2 linked regions of the Arabidopsis thaliana genome follow. The protein of the gene in region 2 interacts with the protein of the main gene of each other region in a pairwise test. Each region holds a gene or a part of one and is shown on either strand. Other genes may lie near its edges.

What was found.
Region 1: the proteins of EIP9 (region 2) and EMF1 interact in a two-hybrid assay, tested with the Arabidopsis thaliana proteins (one study listed by BioGRID).

Annotation. Positions count from the first base shown.
Region 1 is NC_003076.8:3,693,832-3,697,758, reverse strand, and holds the start of EMF1 (embryonic flower 1 (EMF1)), read right to left. Parts: upstream 1,968-3,927; 5' UTR 1,594-1,967; exon of another isoform or gene 1,347-1,593; intron 701-1,346; 5' UTR 620-700; coding exon 525-619; intron 413-524; coding exon 237-412; intron 157-236; coding exon 37-156; intron 1-36. UniProt on the Arabidopsis thaliana protein: Transcription repressor that regulates phase transition during shoot, flower and seeds development. Controls leaves development, shoot architecture and flowering by delaying both the vegetative to reproductive transition and flower initiation.
Region 2 is NC_003076.8:25,736,499-25,740,425, reverse strand, and holds the start of EIP9 (Chaperone DnaJ-domain superfamily protein), read left to right. Parts: upstream 1-1,749; 5' UTR 1,750-1,823; coding exon 1,824-3,218; 3' UTR 3,219-3,222; exon of another isoform or gene 3,223-3,535; 3' UTR 3,536-3,927. Other genes in the region: BETA-UP (beta-ureidopropionase), read right to left, coding at 1-78, 157-384, 479-667, 763-870, 1,052-1,162.

The sequences.
Region 1 (3,927 bases), about 22 Mb from region 2:
ATTATGAAACTGAACCAAGACTCAGCAGATGCATACCTGCAATATCAGTTTTCTTTTCTTTCTCGTGATCAATGATAGTTAGCGAATTGAACTTGCTTTTACTTTCGATAACAGAAGAGTTTCCAATAGCTTTTGAGTTTGAATGCAGTCCACAATCTGCAAGCAACTCAAAATGCATAAGTTCAAGTAGACACGTCTTTAGACACATAAAAAACAATATTGGAAATGTGATATACCTTTTGGCCCATGAGCATCTATATCTTTGATGCAGCTCATACAATGCCACCATCTAAACTTTGGAACAGATAAAGTAGGAAGAGTATAGCTTTGTTGGTCTACTAAACTAACACTCTCTTCTGAAAACGGCCAACATTTTCTAAGGTCTCTCTCACGAGTTTCAGCTACGAATCCACTGCAGAGAAGAAAAACTGGTTATTCATGTCATTTCATCTTGTAGCTTGCTACTATATAAACATACTCTAGCAAGAGAGGTTGATGATATAAGGTCAACAAACTATACTCACCGCATGGAAAAATGATCACATTTCACCATATCAATCTCGTTGGCAGCACCTGCGAGATCTATGGATATTGAGTTGATCTTGATGGAAGATCCCATTGATTTGCTTGAAGGAGATAGATACTATGCCTCAGTGATGATTAACTTTCATACACCATTATACTCTCTCCGCAACTAGAGCTACAAAAGCAACACATCAAAACAAGTTATATAACACATCGTATAATTGTGCTTAATGATCACATTATTGTTGTATATCAAGACATAAATCTTAACTTTCCATATATACGACACCAAATATAACTCTAAATTTATTCAAGCAATAAATATAACTAATCTATAACATAGTGTTAAAGCATTTCACATGAATATCCCACATAAAATAACATTCATAACCAACATCAAACTTCACAATTACACGGCAAATAAAAAAAAATTAAACCCTAAGGTCTACATAAAATCAAGAATGAAATTCTATACTAGCATCTCAATTCAATTACGCTAATATAACAAAAAATTAATCGTGCAAGTGAATTTTATACATTTAACAATTAACATGTAAGTAAACCTAAACTTAGACGACCTAAAATTAGGGTTTTTCAGACAGACGAGAAACCCCAAAGCTGTAACCTTATCTACATGACCAGCAAAAGAAAAAAGAAGATCGGACCAGATTCAATATAATTTCGGAATTACAAAACCCAAGAAAGGTCAAATTATTAATCAGCGTAATTTAGGGTTTAAAATCAAAATTAGAACAAAATTAAAAGATAATAAACCACTTAAATTAACCGTATGTGATTAACAAAGATTAACCAAGACCCACCAATTAATACGGGTCAGATCTATCCGCACGTGAATAGTCCGTGAAGACGAAACCCCAAAAAAAAAAAAAAAAAAAAAAAGTAAGAACATCAAGAGTTTCCGAGGAAGATAGACGTATAAATGAACAGTGAAGCTTAAAAGACACGAAGTCAGCTACAAGTCAGACCAAATCTCAACCCAACAAGATCAAACCTTAGCTCAAACCTTAAATCGAAACACATCTGAGATTCATGTCGGAAACAACGCACCTGGGTTAATCCGACCAGAAATTAGGGATTAAAAGGGGTTGCGAGATTCGAGCTCGATCTTAAGCGGCAAGGGATAAAAACTATATCGGTAGATTGAGAAAGCTACGGAGAAGAAGATTAGATGAGCTTGAAGGATGGATTCGTCGGGAGATGAGTAGAATTTGACTGCGAATTTTCGAGAAACCCTAAGACGAAAGGGGAGGGAGAGAGAAAGGGGGACTTTTTTTTTTTTCCTATGGCTTGTAGAGAGAGACTGTTGGAGAAAGGAGAGGAGAGAGAAAGTGGAGCTCTCTTATCCTTGAAATGAGGGTTTTTTTTTTGTTTGGCTTTGCGTCGATATAAGGGTTTTAATTTCAATAAAATAATCTTTTTATTAATTTATTGTAATAATTTTATATTAAAAAAAGAACAACTCATCTATGGAACATGACAATGCCATGTCACCATCTGGTCTGCCTATTTCCAATTACACGAAACAAAGTTACGTATCTTTTTACTTCTATTGTGTACACGTATCTGTATTTGTACATCTCTGTATCTGTTCTTTGTATCTCTGTATCTGTCAAAAGTGAATAAAAGGAGAAAATTTTATGCATATGTTTAGTTAAGAAAGAAATCTGAGCATTAGTAGAAAATAGCTGGCTTAGGGGAACAGTATCCAGAAATTAAACAACAAGATTAAGTAAAAGATCTCAGTGTTTTTCTTTATATTAGGAAAGAACCCGATTTTTATTTAAATCGTATTAGACGTTTTTGTGTGTGATAGGATGGGGCACAAGAAACCAATGAGAATTAACCACGTGGCCGCAATGTGCGGTTCTTATCACAACCCATTTTTCACTTGTGTCCTGATGAAAAGAAAACCCTAGGCGCGTGGATGTCACGGCGTTTACTTTTCGCGTGTGGGCACGTTTCGTCCGTGGCGCGGAGAGGTAAGGAGCGTCGGCACATACGAAGGGGAGACATTGGAGCGTGTTGTTCACGCGAAGGGAAGAGAGAGTGGAGGAATTGAGGGACCAGTGAGATAAATAAAAGCCCTAAAAGCATGATAAAATTGTATGGGTAGGTGATGTTACCCTAGATGAGCCCATTTCCCCAATAAATGAATTATATATACATATATTAACCCTAACACTCTTTTTTCCCTTTCCAAAGTTTACCACAGTAAAAGTGTTAAAAAAAGTCTGGTTCACATAACCCTATTTAGTTTTTTTCTTAAAATATAATACAATAATCCTTAATTATTGTTATTGTACATGTACTATATAGATGTATTTTTTAATATTGGCTTCTGTTTTTTCGGTGGTAGAATCATCACATGGTACACCAACCTAATGGGATACCTATGATGTAAGCAAAGTTTAACAACAAAAAAAAACTTTGTTTTTCTTTAGACCTTTTGCATATTCGATATTTGATAAAGCAATTAATTGGATGTTGACTCTACTTTCGGAATTAACAATAATACGATTAGATAACTAATACAAATCTAGATTCGGGATTTAACTGTTCGACAGCGATTGTGTGTGTGTTTTTTTTCTTTACGTGGCTCTGTACGTACGTGTTGATACATATTAGAAGTAAGTATCGTTAAGTTGTGTTAACTATTATACAAATGTATAAGAATACTAAACCTTAGTGAAAATAAATTACTAGATCAAGTAAATTTTATATATTGCCTCGAAGAAAATAATAGTATACAGTTAGATAAGTGAATGACCTTTAGTGGGCTTTATCCTTTATAACACATTTCTCTCTCCTTGTTCCTGTATTTTTTAATAATATTCTTTCTTCGGTAAATTGTTTTTTTTTTTCTTAGTTTTTGTCGGCTTCGAGGTTTTATGATATAATTCTTTCCAGAGAAATTTAGGTTTGTTACTTTAGTCTATTTTAGGGGAAAAATATAATCTCCTTTTTTCTTCCCACTGCCATATATGTGATTTACTTTTGCCCCATAAGATCATTTTTTCTTGTTTGGCGCAATTAATTACGGGTTTGACAAATTGTGATGTATATACCAAAACGTGTTAATGATCCACTTTGAATTTTGGATGCATTATTTACTTTTATCACGAAAATAGCACACTATATACACCCCTCTAAAATTTCTAGATAATATTCATAATTTAATACCCAACTTTATGGAAAAGGAATTGAGCACATATTCGTAATGATCTTATCTTTTTGTATAAGATATATTAAGGGCGGAACGGAACCTATCTTCAACCAACCTAACATTTTTTCTCGACCGTATAAATCAAGATTCACATAGTTTTGAATATTATCTTCAAACGTATTTGTAACTCAAAAAAAGGAGATTATATTTATATATAT
Region 2 (3,927 bases):
CTCAAACACAGGATGGCCTGTGTCTCCTTCCATGTAATAGGTGCTCTCGTTGAAATCTCCTACCCTAGGTATATGGTTCTGCCACCAAGCAAGTAATAGAAATTAGCTGACAAGAGAAAAGACAGAGCAACAAAAGACGTGTTAGCACAAATATACCTTTCGATGCTTGCCAATGATATTTCCATTATTCCCTATAATCACAGCGGTATTCCAAAGCACTTCACCGTGATCAATATCTCTTTCGAGAATAGGACTAACAATCACCATGTTATACTTTTTAGCGAGTTCTTGAAGAAACTTTGTCGATTCGCCATCAACAGGCTCTGCAAACTCACACCATCTCCTCTCCCTAGTGCAAAATGCAAATGGCATGGTCCAAGCTTCCTATCGATAAAACCATTCATTCCCCCCCAAAGAAAAGGTCAAAAACAATTGAAGTAACAACTTTTCAATAAAAGAAAGCAAATGGAGGCAAAACCTGCAAGCACAGTATGTTAACACCAGCAACACCCGCAGCATCGATTATCGGCTTCAACTTGTCGAATATTCCTCTTGTTTGGTCCGAGAATGGAGCAGTGGTTGGAAGAGCAATGGAGTTTTGAATGAGACCAACTCTGACCACTCGAGGATTTCTCATTTGCTCTTTATCAGCTGAAAAGCTAGCAGCCTAGACAATATTTATACAAAGATCAAATCAAATCAAAACATTGTCTCAATCTATTAAGTTCAATGATCTGATCCTATAACTAACGAAGTATAAACCTGGAGATCAAAATCATGTTTTGAAGACAAGGCTTTAGCAGACTCCGGCAGAACAATCTGTTCAAGCGATCTCCCACAGTTACGTCCAAGGAGCAACCGGTTTACCTCCTGCAAATCCAATCATCAACAATCCATATTTTTTAAAGCTGATCAACATAACTAAAATAAACACTTGAAACCACTAGAACAAAAGATCCATAATATCATCATTCGAATTAGACAGGCTAATCAAAAGCGAGATCAAACACACTAGAAGAGTAATTTAGTTTGGAGGGAGTGGATACGTCACCTGATAGAGCTCGGGCTTAAGATTCGCTGATAAGAGTTGATGCAGCGAATCATAGCCGCAAATCGATCCTTCGGCACTTGTTTCTCCGTTTTCTGATATCATATGATCCATTTTTTCACGAGTCTTTTTCGATCACGAAACCAAGATGGCGATGACTTTTATGACAACAGTGATCGATCGGTTTGGTCAATTGATTACGAATTATTTTCTGGGAATCGGAATGTAATATTTTATTTTAGTTAGGCTGTCCAGACCTAAAGCCCACCAGATTATATTTTAATTCTTAAAAGAATTATTGGGCTTTACAACATCCTAAAAAGCATCTGTATTGGTGGTTTTTCGTTCAAATCTCTCATCTACAAAAATAAAAATAAAATAGTAAATAATGTTTTTTTTAATTAAAAAAATCTCTCAGTAAAGATGAGTGAGTCTCTCATTTGAGAGATTACAAGAAACTTTTCCAATTGTTTAGAGAAACTGTCCTAAGAGAATAATATTACATCTTATTTTATTAATATTTTTTGTAAGTGAAAAATTTAGAAAAAAGTGTTCCGGCCCATTGACGATCCATCACATTGCACATATTATATAAAATGAAAAGGACCAAAATGCCATTGACGATCCATCATGTTGTTGTTCCGGCCCATTGACGATCCATCATGTTTTCGTCCTTTTAATTTTTAGATCTGTATTTACTCTTTACCGATAAAATAATAAATAAATTCAACGGGGAGAGAGGAAAAACGAAAGGGAACAAAAAGAAATAGGGGATATGGTAGGCGGACGCGGCGGAGTTGGCGGTGGTGGTGGTAACAGAGTGGAGGCGGATCAGTGGCTTGTAACATCGGAGAAGCTTCTAGCGTCTAGTGATCTTCAAGGAGCAAAGACATTTGCGATCCGCGCATGCGAAGCTGACCCGACCCGAGCAGAAGCTGCAGACTACATCCTCGCAATCTGCGACATTCTTCTCGCCGGAGAGACTCGTTTAGGTGATTCCAACTTGCCAGACTGGTACGCCGTTCTCCGACTCGGTCGTTTAGCTCAAAACCCTGAACACGTCGCGACTCAGTACCGTAGACTCGCTCTTCTCCTCAATCCTTCCGTTAATCGTCTCCCATTCGCCGATCGAGCTCTTAAAATCGTCTCCGATGCTTGGTTCGTTCTCTCTGATCCGTTCAAGAAATCATTCTACGACCGAGAATTGCAACTTAGTCAACTCGGTCAATCTGGATTCCATCCTCAAACCCAATCGCATCAAAATTTCCAGTGGGAACCTAGCAGTAGCACCGCCGTATATCCGCCACCGCGGTCTCAGAGCCAGGCTGGGACCTCGGCGGATCCTATGGCGACGAGCTTCTGGACCGCTTGCCCTTACTGCTTTGTACTCTTTGAGTACCCTAAGGCTTACGAAGAATGTACTTTGAAATGTCAAGAATGTAGAAGAGCGTTTCAAGCTGTGACGATACCAAAACCTCCGGTGGATAAGAAAGACGACGAAGACGTTTACTTTTGCTCATGGGCTTTGTTTCCATTGGGGTTTTCCGGTGAATTTCAAGCTCCAAGTTGGTCACCTATTTCACCTCTCTTTGCCTGTCCTCTGCAAAAGTTGGATGGTGAACCAAAGAAGAGAAAGGAACCGGGTCCTCCTAGGATTTACTATGACGATGATGACATTTATGTTGCGATTTCGGATGGAGATGACGCTGGTGATGATGGTGATTGGCAAGATGTGGTACAAGTGAATAAGAAGACGAATGTTGGGAAAGGGAAAGAAACATATGTGAGAAGTAACAAGAAACATGGAGTTGAAGAAGTCCAAAATGTAGAAAGTATCAGTAGTGCTAGCAATCACGCGGTTTCAATTGCTTCAAATGCTGCGGCTGTTGGGTCTTCAACTGGGGTTATGTCTAAACCAGGGAGTTATATTACTAGAAAACGAATGGGAACAGGCGCTAAGAACCTGGGGAGGTTGGATTTGAATGTGGAGTTTAGTAATGAAGTGGAAGAGCCTGGTGTGGCAGGTGGGGGAAATGCAGGCAATGGGATCGGAAGTAACAGGGAGGTAGATAATATGGAAGGGATTGGGTTCTTTGAGGGACTTGATGAATTCTTGAATAGTTTGCCCATACTTTCTGTTGTTGGAGATGATAAGATCAAGGCTACTTAGTGAAGTAAGGCTTTTTCCTCTCTTTGTTTAGGTTGCGGGTGTTTCGTTGTTGTAGGCCTTAGCTTTTATGTTTCCTGTTGATGTTTAACTGTAGTGGAAATACTAGCATTTTGATTCCTTGGAATCCCTGTAGTTGGAATCTGTTGATGTTATTTTGCTCAAAATTCGGATGCTTTCGTCGCTTTCTGGTATATAGTCTTCTGCTTCTGAGTTCTGAGTAAAGGCATTAAGATTATCTTTCTCGGGTTTATTAGACTATAAAACCTTACTAGCCAAATGCCTTATCTAAAGTAAAGTGAGTTACTTATCCTGCTCAGGTTTCATTTTGTTCCAAAAGAATTATGTTCCTCCAACTCAAAAGGCCATAGAGCAGCAAATTGCAAAACATAGGTGGTTTCCATGTCGTAATTGCTGCTTCTGTTCATTCACTAGATAACTTGTTGTGTTCTGGACTGACAAACGAAGAGGGAAAGTGACAACACACATTGCTTGCTTCATTCATCCTTGATGCTTTGAAAGGTAAGGAAAACAAGTAAGCTTTTTGTCAAGAATTTCTTGCTGGGGTCTAAGGTAAAGACCTAAACGGCTATGTAGAGTTTTTTTTGTGTAGTCATAGTAGCTAGGTATTCTCACTTACCTGTAATGAGTATTCTGCAGAATCTAGAAGATACAGAAGCTATCCAAGAGGTGATTCGTGCACGTTATCTGG